Cricetulus griseus: one gene and its partners. The protein of the gene in region 2 purifies or fractionates together with the protein of the main gene of each other region. This does not show direct contact. Links are inferred from orthologs where the notes say so. Each region holds a gene or a part of one and is shown on either strand. Other genes may lie near its edges.

Region 1 (4,043 bases), on a different chromosome or scaffold from region 2:
GTCTCAGGGGGAAAACAAAACAAACAAACAAACAAACAAAAAAACGGCTTCTTCATCTCCAGGGGATGAGGGCTCTGTGCTAACCACGCACGGCTGGCACTCACAAGGCCTGTCAGAACCCCACACATCCCGGGACACCTCTTCTAGAGTGAGGACATTTGTACACCAAACTTCTGGACCATCTCCCTGGCAACCAGTGATGTTGGCTGAAGAGGTGTCACCTACTTAGCACTGCCATCAATTCAAGGGTTAGAGAACAAGGCAGCAGCCCAAGGTCACACACACTTAACACTTAACTGAAAGACACAGAACATGGATGTTTCCTTGGTCCACACACCAGAGGACAGTGATGGGGGAGCTTGGGGCTTCAGGGCTCAATCCAAGGAAGGACCAACAAGTCATCACAGGGTCTTAACAGGGTGAGTGTGCAAGCCTGACTCTTGTGGACGAGGCACCCTGGCCTTCTACTCTGCACCACATCTCCTACCCATGCACCCCGAAAGAGCACACAGCCCAGCTTTTGGACCCCTATGCTCACCACTGGCCATGCCCAAAACAATCCCGCCCACACTGGACCTTTGTGACAGTCCCCATGCTCTGGGCTGCTTTGTCCCACCACTCTCTCCAGTCTGGACCATCTCATCTGCCCCTTCTTACCCTGGATGTAACAGATGGGTGCATGCCAAGGAAGAGCAGGGGAGCACAATCAACTGGGCTTGAATTTTCCTGGGTTCCAACATATGAATGTGGACCAATGTGTCAAGTCACAGGTGAGGCAGAGCTGGGCACCTGGATGAAGAACTCCAGACAACCCCAGAGAAGCCACTGACTTACCACATTCACTTTGGCTATTTGGCTTCCAGTCTCCTCCTCCAAAGAAACCAGAGACCATGACAGAAAGTCAAACAAACATGTCTCTCAATGAAGTTAGATCCTGACATCCCCTAAGTTGAAAACACGCTTAAGTAAAAAACACATTCAATCTATTTCACCTTTCTGAACATCACAGTTGACCTCAACGTGTCCAGACTTCCATTATCCCAGAGGTGCATGGAACCATCTAGCACAAAGCTTGTTTTATCATAATCTGCTAGTCAAATATTTATTGAGTCTGTAATCCCAGCACTTAGGAAGTAGAAGGATCATCTCGAGGCTGAGGTCAACATGAACTACATGAGATCTCATCTAAGAGACTGGGCCAGCAAGATGGCCCAGCAGGCCCAGAAATGACTCTGTTATTCTGACCGCTACACATTCACTGTGGCCCATAGACCCCCAACATAGAATAAATAAATGCAAAATAAGTTAAACAAAAACACATGCTGAAGAGCTTAGAGGCATGCACACACACACATGCCACAGAGATGGGTGGTGCCCTGGTAGATAGGCCAGGATGAAAGATCATAGCTGCTACCAAACGTCATCACCCTCTCACCACCATCCGGTGGAACCCTGATACGTGGGTGACTTCCCAAAACTGGGATCCACATTAAGTGGAAATTTTTATTTAAAAATTTTTGTGCATGTTGTCTGTGCGTTTGTACGTGAGTGTGCTGGGCATGGGGCGGTGAGGGGACAACTTTCACAAGTTGGTTCTCTCCTTTGATTACGTGGGCCTCAGAGCCTGAACTCAAGTAGTCAGTCTCGGTAACAAGCGGGGCTGTGCCTGCTGAGTCATCTCTACAACCCAGCATTAGGCTTCCTGAAGTTGTTTTTGACTTAACTGGACAGCCTTTGCTTCCGTGTGTACCGAAGTCATTACGCATTCTGAACCTGGGAGGCCAGGTGAGCAGCTGCAGCTGAGATGTTTCCCAAGAGTCTGTAGTTACAATGGCTAAGTGTGTGAAACTTCTGAGACCAGAATTCCAATGTCTGTATGTGCCAACTGGGTAAGAGCCGCGATCCCACACTACTTCCCAAAGGCAGAGAAACGGGTGACTCTCAACACCCCAAATTGTGATCACCCGCTGTGGGCTACACGTAGGTGATATTGGGGTGATCACACCAGCCAACCTCAAGTCTACCTCCACAGAGTCTAGCTTCATCCTTTCCTTCCTAGCGCTTACCAAAGCCTGCCATCATCTTGCATACTAGTCTGATGAGCTCTATAGGACTCCAGTGCCCAAAACATGCCACGACGGAAGGATCCAGATGGACATGGTCTTCGTTGCCTCGCGGCCCTTACATTTGGTGAAGGGAGGCATACATACATACATACATACATACCTACATACACACACGCGCACGCACACATAAATACGTGTGTGCGGACGTGTGCGTAGAATGTATGTGAACACAGTGCAACAATGCATAAACTGTGCACACATATTTGTGTAACGTGCACCTTCTAATTCACGTGTGCATGCTTGCATGTATACAGTGCACCTTTGCACACACACAAACGTATACACCAAGTGTGTGGACTCCACAGAAAGTGTGCATGGGACTCCTGGGCTGTAGCTGGCTGCCTCGTGGGGGGAGGGGCTGGCGAGCAGGGGACTCGGGCAGATTCCATGCACTGGCTCCACATGCATGCATTAGGCGCCTGGTGCACGCGGGCCTCAGGCGGACAGCGTCCTGCCCTCAGGGCGCGTCCCTTCCGGCGCCGGGCGCTGAGTGACAGCTCCCGGGCCGGCCGCCCGCTTACCTCGGAACTTGAGCTCGTGCTGTGGCTCGAGGCTCAGGACCTGCTCCACCTTCGCCATGGTCCTCCCCGTCGGGGGCGGCGGCGCGGGCGGGGGCGGCGGCCTGGGCGGCGGGGCGCAGGGGCGGAGGGCGAGGCCGCGGTGCCCGGCGAGCTTACGGCACGCACACACGTAGGCACGCACGCCCCGACGCACGCACGCACGTAGGCACGCACGCAGCAGCGGCCCGGCTCCGGCACTGGCCGGAGGCTCCGGCGGCGAAAGGGAGACTGCGCGTGCGCGGAGTTTTCTGGGCCACTGCGCAGGCACGGCCGGGCCGGCGGGGGCGGAGCTTCCACCGCAGGGGGCGTGGTCTCGCGCTGCTTGGGAGGAAGGGCAGTCTGTGGCTAGACAGTTTAGTTAGCGCCTGCGGGGAGAACTGTTAAGTGCTTTACTTAATAATAATAATTAACAAGAATAAACTTCCACTTTCTTCCCGCACGTGTGGTGCCAAGCTCTGCTGAGCCTGAATATAATAAAGTACTTATTATTGTTACAAACACGATGTTTATGGGTTACTGATATGTGCTAGGCCTCGTGACAGTTCATAAATAACAATTATAAATATAATAAACAGGCAATTATTGTTTGCTTATTTCGTGCCACTCTGCTGAATGCTTTCAGTAACTGTCATAAATAAAAGCTATTCTGCATTCTGTGTTTACCAAACCGCAAAGCACTGCACTGAACCGTTCGCTAATAGATACCATTATTCGTTTATGCAAGAAATATTTAGAAACACAATCACCAGAAAACGACCCGCCTCAGACCTTTACTGGGACCTTGTGGAGAGAATGAATTGGTTACACATAATTCACATGATTAAATAAATCACATGATGGAAAGGATCTGGGAGCCTAGGTCTGTCTAGTACCCAAAATAGGCGTTCTATCCTCTTACTAGCGTGTGACTAATATCTCATTGTGTAACGTATACTATGTGAAATAGATCTTAATAGCCTCCTCATCAGACAGACATATATGAAGTAAACACGGCCAGTTGTTCACCATGGTCGACCACATATGTATGGCAGGGATAATGTCTGTGTCTCTCAGGCATTTCCCACTTTGCGTGTACTTGGACTTGCTTTCATCATAAAGGTTTTTAGGGGTAGTCTCTGTCTTTTAGCTTGTGTATCTAATCCATTTATACTTATTATATTTGCTGGTGTACCTGGATCTATTTTACTAGCTTACATTGTTTCTTCTGTTTGGTTTACTATTTTCTTTTTGTCTCTCATGCCTTGCTTCTTCAGGGTTGTTTTCACCTCAGTCTGGTCTTTCCTTGCATGGTCTGCTGCTATTGCTCCCATGCTTATTTAAATTCTTAACACGCGTACTGATGCCATGAAAGTCTAGC
Region 2 (3,500 bases):
GCAGCATTTGAAGAAAATAATAAATTATATTCATCAGTTTGTGAAATAAACCTTTGTAAACTTAAATGTCCTGAGCTATGGCTTGCATTTTTTTCTAATAATTTGCCCTGAAAACCACAAAAAGAAAAAAAAGACCCAAGGCTTGCTTTCTTTGTTTTACAATTTCTGTCAATCACACACCATTTTCAGTTATTCATAATAATGCTAGAAATTGAAAATCCTCACTCATACTCAGCCTGTCAAGACAGCTACGCCAAGTCCTATAGAGTTCATTTGAAATAAATCAACACAGAGAGACACAGAGAAAGGATGGGAAGGCTGTAGCAATCTTCTACTGCTCTGTCTAGAAGCAGGGCAGTGATTACAATTTGGGGGTTGTAGAAAGCACTGTCAGAAAAAAAAAATGTTTTTAGCAGAAATAGCTGGCCTTAGCAGGGTGAACTCGTTCCCGAAAACCACTCGGCCAGAGTCTCGGCTAGCTGCAGTGTGGCCTCTTGCCAGTGTAATAAACAGAAGCTCTGTCTACCTGTGGACTCAGAGAACTTTAAGAAAATAACCCCCAGGTTCTGCAGTCATTTGAACAAAATTGTAGAGACATCCAGCACACTCCATTTAAAAAAAAGAAAGAAAATAACCCCTTATTATTTCCTTAAGACTCTTAGGGACATAAAGCCTCTTATTCAGTGTAAGAACATGGTGACAAAGTACCTGTGAGGTAGACTTTTTTCCTCCCGAAGCGATCTGAAAGCTGACCAAAGGAGATAACGCCAACAAACACACCACTGAAGAAAAAGGAGCTGGCCGCACTGACTTTGTAAGATCGGTTGGCAATTAAAAACCACTATAAGAAAACAAAACAAAACAAAAAATTCATGAGGGGGACAATTTAGGTCACAGAGAGCAATATATACACTGCACTAACAAAGCCTAGTTTATAACACAGATTGGACACTGGTATCAATGTCCGTTAGCCAGAATCTGCTGGAATATTCATCACAGACAACATCCAAGGAGACAGCTTCAGAAACACTGGGAACCATTGCTGCTATGGTATACTTGCAGGGTATTCTTCATATACTCCCAGCAGAACTGCACACAGCATGCAAGTGCTAATCACATATACAATTGCTGACTATGGCCTTGTCCTGAGTCCTTGGCAGTTTCTGGAGAGGAGAAGCCTTGTTCTATTTCCATTTTTCGGATGCCTACACATCACATGACACCTATGAAGTAATCAATGAATAAATCTTTTGGTTAACATATTAGTATATTTAAAATTCCTTGAGCACATTCCTCAAAAAAATAAAATGGAAGGGAGGTGGAGAGAGGACTCAGGGGGTAAGAGCACTTGGTTACTCTTCCAGAGGATGGGAGTTTGAGTCCCAGCAAGCCCATGGTGGCTCCAGTTCCAGGGGATCCAAAGCTGTCTTTAGCTTCTGAGGGCACTGCATAGACATACATGCAGGAAAAAAAAAACTCAGGCACATAAAATAATACAAAATTAAAACTGAACATCATATGATCCTCCAATTTCTCTTCTGGGTGTATATGCATGAGCAGCAAATTCCAAATTCAGGTTCTCTGTCAACACCCAGGTTAACACATCATATTCCCAATAATCGAAGACAGAGTCACCTGTGTCAATCAACAGATCAATAGAGAAGTAGAATGCCATATGCATGTACAATGGAATATTACTCAATATTACTTTAGAGCTAATGCAGTCTGATTCATGCGACAGCCCTGATGAACTTTAGACATTATAGAAACAAGCCAGGCAAGAAGGAACAAATGCTGCACAACTCTCGTAATATTAGGTACCTGCAAGAGTTAGCTTCACAGAGACAGAAAGAATAGTGGTTACAGGGATGAAGGGATGTGGGACAGGGAGTCAATGTCTCATGAGAACACACTTTCCATGTAGAATGATGAAAACATTCTGGAGACAGACAGCGGTGATGATTGCAGAATATAAATATATGAATTCCCCAGAATTATACACTGTACACCAAGGTGGTAGGTATCCTTCGTGCCATGCAAATTTAGCATGAGAAAAACTTCCTAGAGTGCTATGGACAATTATGAATGTAAACAGAAGGCAATCTCATTCTGTTCAGCATCATCTTCTGACAGCCTATCTAGTGATAGTTATCAGTGAGGAGCAGTAAAGCATGTCACAGAGGTATAACCTCAGAGGACACAAAGACACATCTTTCCTCTTCCCAGCCCCCTTGCAGATCCACCCAAGAGCCCTTCTCTGAGAACTCTCAAGGCGGCACTTTTCTGGGTTGCCTGCCCCTGTTTGGTGTGTGTGTGTGTGTGTGTGTGTGTGTGTGTGTGTGTGTGTGTGTGTGTGTGTGTGTGTGTGTACCCTTTCACCATGCTTTAACTAACTGGGGCCCCAGAAGCACATCCAAACTCTCTCCTTACTTTGTATCTTCTATAAGCCTGGATTGATGATGGTCTTGACAAGTCAGATCATGACAGACAGGGTTATAATATGGGTTAGAATTTCATAGAAGAGAGATGAAGAGACCTCTGGCATTTGAAAAAGAATTTTGTTTTTTGAAAAGCTAATTCGTTTTGGATACACTGTTAGTCCTGTAGAATAATGTTCAATTCGGGAGGAATGACTATGGTGACATATTCTGAAATGGAAAAGTGAGATGTCAGGTGCCCTGTTGTCCTAGAGGAGCCAGCTCAGCATCCATCACAGGGACAGTCCTGCTCCTGTGATAGACGAAACAGGAACAAATGGAATTGTTCTTAACTACAATTAACGTCTTAATTCAAACACTTGTTATATTTATCATGTTCTTAATGCTCATGCTTACATGCTCTTAAAGGCTGCCTTGTGACTTTAGCATTGATTTCTCTGTGCTTTAGGAATTCCAGTCTGTATATATGGTCAAGATACTCAGGTGGACAGCGAGCTAGGTCAGAAGGAAATGACTAGACTGTTGACTGTATTTACCAAATTTCTCATATCCACTAAAAAGGCTACAGTGCCATCCCTCAGCAACTGAATAGCTGTCAACTTGGACAATGATTTTAGGAAGAAATGGCCCAAGGGATGGATAAACAGCAAATTCCAAATCCTGATTCTCAGGCTGCCAGTTCCAAGTGTCAAAGTAATTTCTACTAATTTTTCTTCAAGTCAATGCTGGTTAGGCTAACGCACCCTCCCATTTCTCCTGGACTACATTCAAGAACAGACAGAAATTTGAAAAGCAGATTTTTGCAAAGCTAATTGGAGAAAGCTAGCTAGAATCTGGGGTCTCTCCCTCAGCAGAGCTCCATGAATTGAGAGTGCTAAGGCGCAGGTGACAAGTATTTCACAAAGTCAGCTGACAGAAAGATTTCCACAACCCTATCCTGACTCTCCTTTACAGTTTTTTGTTTTCAACTCCTCTAAAGCATCATTTAAATTCTTATTACTTAGCTACCACGTGATCAAGAGGGTTTTACTTGGTTCAAACTCAACTAAGATACAGTAAGAC
Region 3 (3,979 bases), on a different chromosome or scaffold from region 2:
ACTGAAAAAGTCTTAAGCAGCTGTGGTACCCTCAGGGGTGGGGACGACCCATTCCAACCCTGGCGTCCTGGGGAGTCTAGGGTGCTTCTTGTCGCCTGGAGCTTCCTTAGAGATTTAAATGCAGGCAGCACCACAGGGCGCAGCAAAGGTTTATTTATCTGTGCATGTTTTACAGCGCATCCATTTGTTGTGTTTGCTCCTCCTGCCAGCCTCTCTGCTGCCTGGCCTGCTTCTCCTCGCGCACAGGCTCTGTCTCCTCAGGGGAGGCGGCCGGCACGCTGGGGGCCCGCCCGCTCGCCCGCTCGCCCCTGCCCGCGGGCTCCCGTTTGCTTTGGGGCGGGGTGCGCGTTTCTAGGTCCGGCTCTGCTCGGTTGCGGGTAGACGAGGGAGGGAGGAGGCCGGCTTGGAACCCCGGGAGGCCCGAGATGGAGGGCCCCGCCGCCTTCCCACCGGGACGCGGGCCCGCGGAACCCTTCTCCTCCTCTCCCAGGGCCGACGAGACGCCCCGGGGCCAGCCCGAAGCCAGCGACCCCGCCCGCCCGCAACGGACCGGACCGCCGCCTCCTTCCCCGCTCCCAGCAGCCCCCGCGCGCAGGCCCCGCCCTCCCGCCGCCCGGAGCATGCCGGGAGCCGAGGGCCGCGGCGCCTTCCTGACGGCCTCTCGTTCGGAATTCCGCTCGGAACGCCGTGAGGCCCCCGCGTCGTGGGCGCGCCAGCTCGGCACTCCGCGCTCGCAGCTCCCGGGCACCGGGAACGACGCTTCTCGGCCGGGCGCCCCGCCCGCCCCGCCCCGCCCCGCCCCGCCCCGCCACGACTGACAGCCGCACGGCGCCGGGAGCCGCAGCCCGGGCCGGGCCCGCGCAGGCGCATTAGCCCCGCCTCGTCCCGGTCAGGCCCGGAGGGCGGGCCGGCGCGCGGCTCCGGGCCGCGGCGGCGCGCACGTCGGCGCGTCCAGCCCGTCACGTGTGGGGAGCCGAGGCCGGCAGTGCGCGCGCGCGGCCGCGGCGGCTGGTGTGGGGTTGAGTCGGTTGTGACACCCGGAGCTGCTGGCGCGACAGGCGGCCCTCGGAACCCGCGGCCCCGGCGGCAGCAGGCGCGGAGCTTCGGCAGTCCCGTCGTGAGCCTGGCCCCGTCCTAGGGCCCCGCCGGCGCCGCCCGCCGCTCGCCGCCCGCCGCCCCCGCCCGCCGCCGCCAGCGAACCGCCGCCGCCGCCGCCGCCGCCGCGGGCGCGCGCGCCGCCGCTCTGCGCTGTCTCCGATGGCGTCCGCCTCCGGGGCCATGGCGAAGCACGAGCAGATCCTGATCCTCGAGCCGCCCTCCGACCTCAAATTCAAAGGTGAGCCGGCTGGGACGCGCCCGAGCGGGGCCCGGGCCGGGGCCGGGCGGGGGCCGGGGTCGGCGGGCGGGCGGGCGAGCGTCTGGGCGAGGGAGCGAGCGAGCGGGCGGGGCGGCGGCGGCGAGGCCGGGTCGGTCGGGCCGCGCTCCCCTCCCCCACGCCCGCGCCTAGCGTCGGCCCCGCTGCGTCCTCGGCCGGCGCCTCGCTCTCCGCCGCCGCCCGCCCGCTCGCTCGCTCGGGCTGCGGAGGGAGGGGAGGGAGCCAGGGCGCTGCGGAGGGCTCAGCCCGGCGCCGCCGCGCGCCGTCGCCATCTTGCAGCCCGCGGGGCGCCGCGGGGAACCCGCCCGCGCCTTGCTCGCCCACCACCCGCCGCCGCGCCGGCGTCCCTTGCCCCCGGGCGTTGCGGGCGGCGGCGGGAGCTGCAGCTTCGCTCGGCGTCTGCGGGCGGCCGTCGGTGGCCACGGGCGAGGCGCGCAGGGCCGGGCGGGGCGGGCGCGGGCCTGGCCCCGGGTCTCCCGGGTCAGGTGCGGGGCTCGGGGGCGCCCCAGGCCCCCAGCGCTGTCGGGCTGGGACTGACCCCGGGCGCTGGCAGGGCCCCAAGCGCGCGGCGGGAGGCTGCGTGTGCGTCAGCTCGGGGTTTGCAGCGCTCTAGGTCGCGGGTAGCGGGTCCCCGGTGTCACCCGGGCTCCCAGCCCCGGGGTGCGGGGAGGGCGGGGGAGCACGCCGTCTTTTTTTTTTTTTTGCCGAGGGGTTCGTTCTCGGTGTCGGCGACTCGAGCGTTTGCGGTTTCCCAGCATACCCCGAGAAAGCTGATAAGGTGCCACGCCGCGCCGGGGCTGCTGACGGTGGAGCACGGACGGTTCAGATCCAGGGCCCTGGGCGTCTCCGTGTGTGTGTGGGTTTGTGGGCTACGTAGCGGGGAGAGAAGCTTGAACCGTACAGCGTACTAATTTTTAAGGTTTCCTGATAGGATGTGGAGCTAAAAGGACCTGCTCCTCCCTCTCTTTAGCTAATACCTGGGGTTTTAATTTTAGGAACTGTGATGAGAACGATTTCCCTTGGGTTGTTGCATGGCAGTTCTAGTATTAAAAGAAACAGTGAGTCCATGATTGTGTAAGATTGAGTCCGAATGAAAATAGCTGGATTGTCCCCGTGGGAACCATTTTTAAATTATATTTTAAATAGTTTAGGACTTACAAAGATTTTGATGTTTTGCTAGCAGTACTTCCTACACTGCAGGTGTTCGGTGCATTTACAGGTTTCTCTGAATGGAGACTTACAGGATTCCTCATTTGACAAGAGCTTGATTTTTTAAGGCAGGGCTAATTAATACCTTTGAAACTAGGGGTGGTCAACCACGCTTCTAATCCCGGCGTTTTGGAGGCCAGCCAGGAACCATGGAACGTTTGAAACAAGACTGGGTTACATAGACACTAGACAGTGCCTCAGAACCTCAGATACTTTGCGTACATTTTGCTGCAGCAAATTTCTGTTGCCTGATTTTTGGAAGGGGGTTGGGTGGGGGTATGCAGAGAAGTCCTTCAAGTGTTTGTACTAAAGTAGTCATCATTAGTTGAAGCGATTTAATGTAAATCTTCATGATGCTGTAGTTTGCTTTCCCCTTTGACAGTTCACGAGGAAATTTTCTGAACTGCATAGCCTGTGTGAAAAGCATTTTAGGAGGCAGGTTTTAAAAACCAGAAGAAATAGTGCATTGTGCTTTATCCACTCGTTTCTTTCTGACGTTAAATAATTCCAACAGGCTATTGTGTTATCAAAATAACAATCCAAGACTAGTGAGGGAGACCAAAAAGATGATATAAATGGTGTTTGAGGAAAGCAGCTTTTCTCCGAAGGAATGAATCTTTTAAGGGAAAAGGTTCTTGTGAAGCGGCCGGGGGCTGGGGAGAGTTATGCAAAGGGAGGGGTAAATACTGAGGAGAGGAGACTTCAGACTTAAAGTGCAGGTCCTTGTAAAGGTGGGCCAAGCAGAGACGATAGGGAGAGGGCGAAGTAGGAGTGTGACATTTGGGGTTTGGCGCTTTCCTCCTTAACGTTACTTTGTCAGTCACAGATTACTCTGTACAATGGAGACGTCTGTCTTTAAATGCACAGCTCTACACTAGTAGGGTGATTTAGGATCCAAGTGTGCATCCTTTGGTGACTATATCAGAAATTATTTAACTGATTTTTTTTTTTCATTTAGTGTAGGTTGTTTACGCTTTTTCCTTTGCAAAATTCTTTGATTATTTGGTAGGTTTATTTGAATTATTTGGATTCAACATTTATGTTGTGATGGTACCTTCAGGAGTGACTCATTCAACCATTCTGAGATTGACAGTTCTCCTTTAACATGAGTAATGACTTGATAAGAGTTATTACTATTCACGATTTTGGAAAAGCAGGTATATTTTTTTGTGTGTATCTCCATCTTAGTAAAATTTTAACTAGCAAAATGTAGAAAACCTTTTATGGTTGTAGAATGAATTCTGAAGCATACCTTTTAGTGCTTTTGTGCATAAAAAGATCGTAAAACATTTTTTTTGACCCTACCAGCAATTTGACTAGTAATTTAGATTTGAAATTAGATGTTTCATGGAAAAAGCTTTTTTGTCCTTAAAGTTTAATGTATTACAAAATTTG

The links. Proteins that work in one complex are often made in the same cells at the same time.
Region 1: the proteins of Slc22a15 (region 2) and Vapb purify together in Homo sapiens (co-immunoprecipitation; 3 studies listed by BioGRID and IntAct, with this or other methods). This does not show direct contact. The link is inferred for Cricetulus griseus from reciprocal best matches to the Homo sapiens genes SLC22A15 and VAPB.
Region 3: the proteins of Slc22a15 (region 2) and Vapa purify together in Homo sapiens (co-immunoprecipitation; 3 studies listed by BioGRID and IntAct, with this or other methods). This does not show direct contact. The link is inferred for Cricetulus griseus from reciprocal best matches to the Homo sapiens genes SLC22A15 and VAPA.

What each region holds. Positions count from the first base shown.
Region 1 is NC_048599.1:5,261,699-5,265,741, forward strand, and holds the start of Vapb (vesicle-associated membrane protein-associated protein B/C), read right to left. Parts: upstream 2,801-4,043; 5' UTR 2,706-2,800; coding exon 2,648-2,705; intron 1-2,647. UniProt on the Homo sapiens protein: Endoplasmic reticulum (ER)-anchored protein that mediates the formation of contact sites between the ER and endosomes via interaction with FFAT motif-containing proteins such as STARD3 or WDR44.
Region 2 is NW_023276806.1:55,080,031-55,083,530, reverse strand, and holds part of Slc22a15 (solute carrier family 22 member 15), read right to left. Parts: intron 842-3,500; coding exon 709-841; intron 1-708. UniProt on the Homo sapiens protein: Organic zwitterion/cation transporter with apparent specificity for amino acids and their derivatives. Has low affinity for its substrates and may regulate their flux across the plasma membrane at high substrate concentrations.
Region 3 is NC_048595.1:454,567,821-454,571,799, reverse strand, and holds the start of Vapa (vesicle-associated membrane protein-associated protein A), read left to right. Parts: upstream 1-1,179; 5' UTR 1,180-1,257; coding exon 1,258-1,336; intron 1,337-3,979. UniProt on the Homo sapiens protein: Endoplasmic reticulum (ER)-anchored protein that mediates the formation of contact sites between the ER and endosomes via interaction with FFAT motif-containing proteins such as STARD3 or WDR44.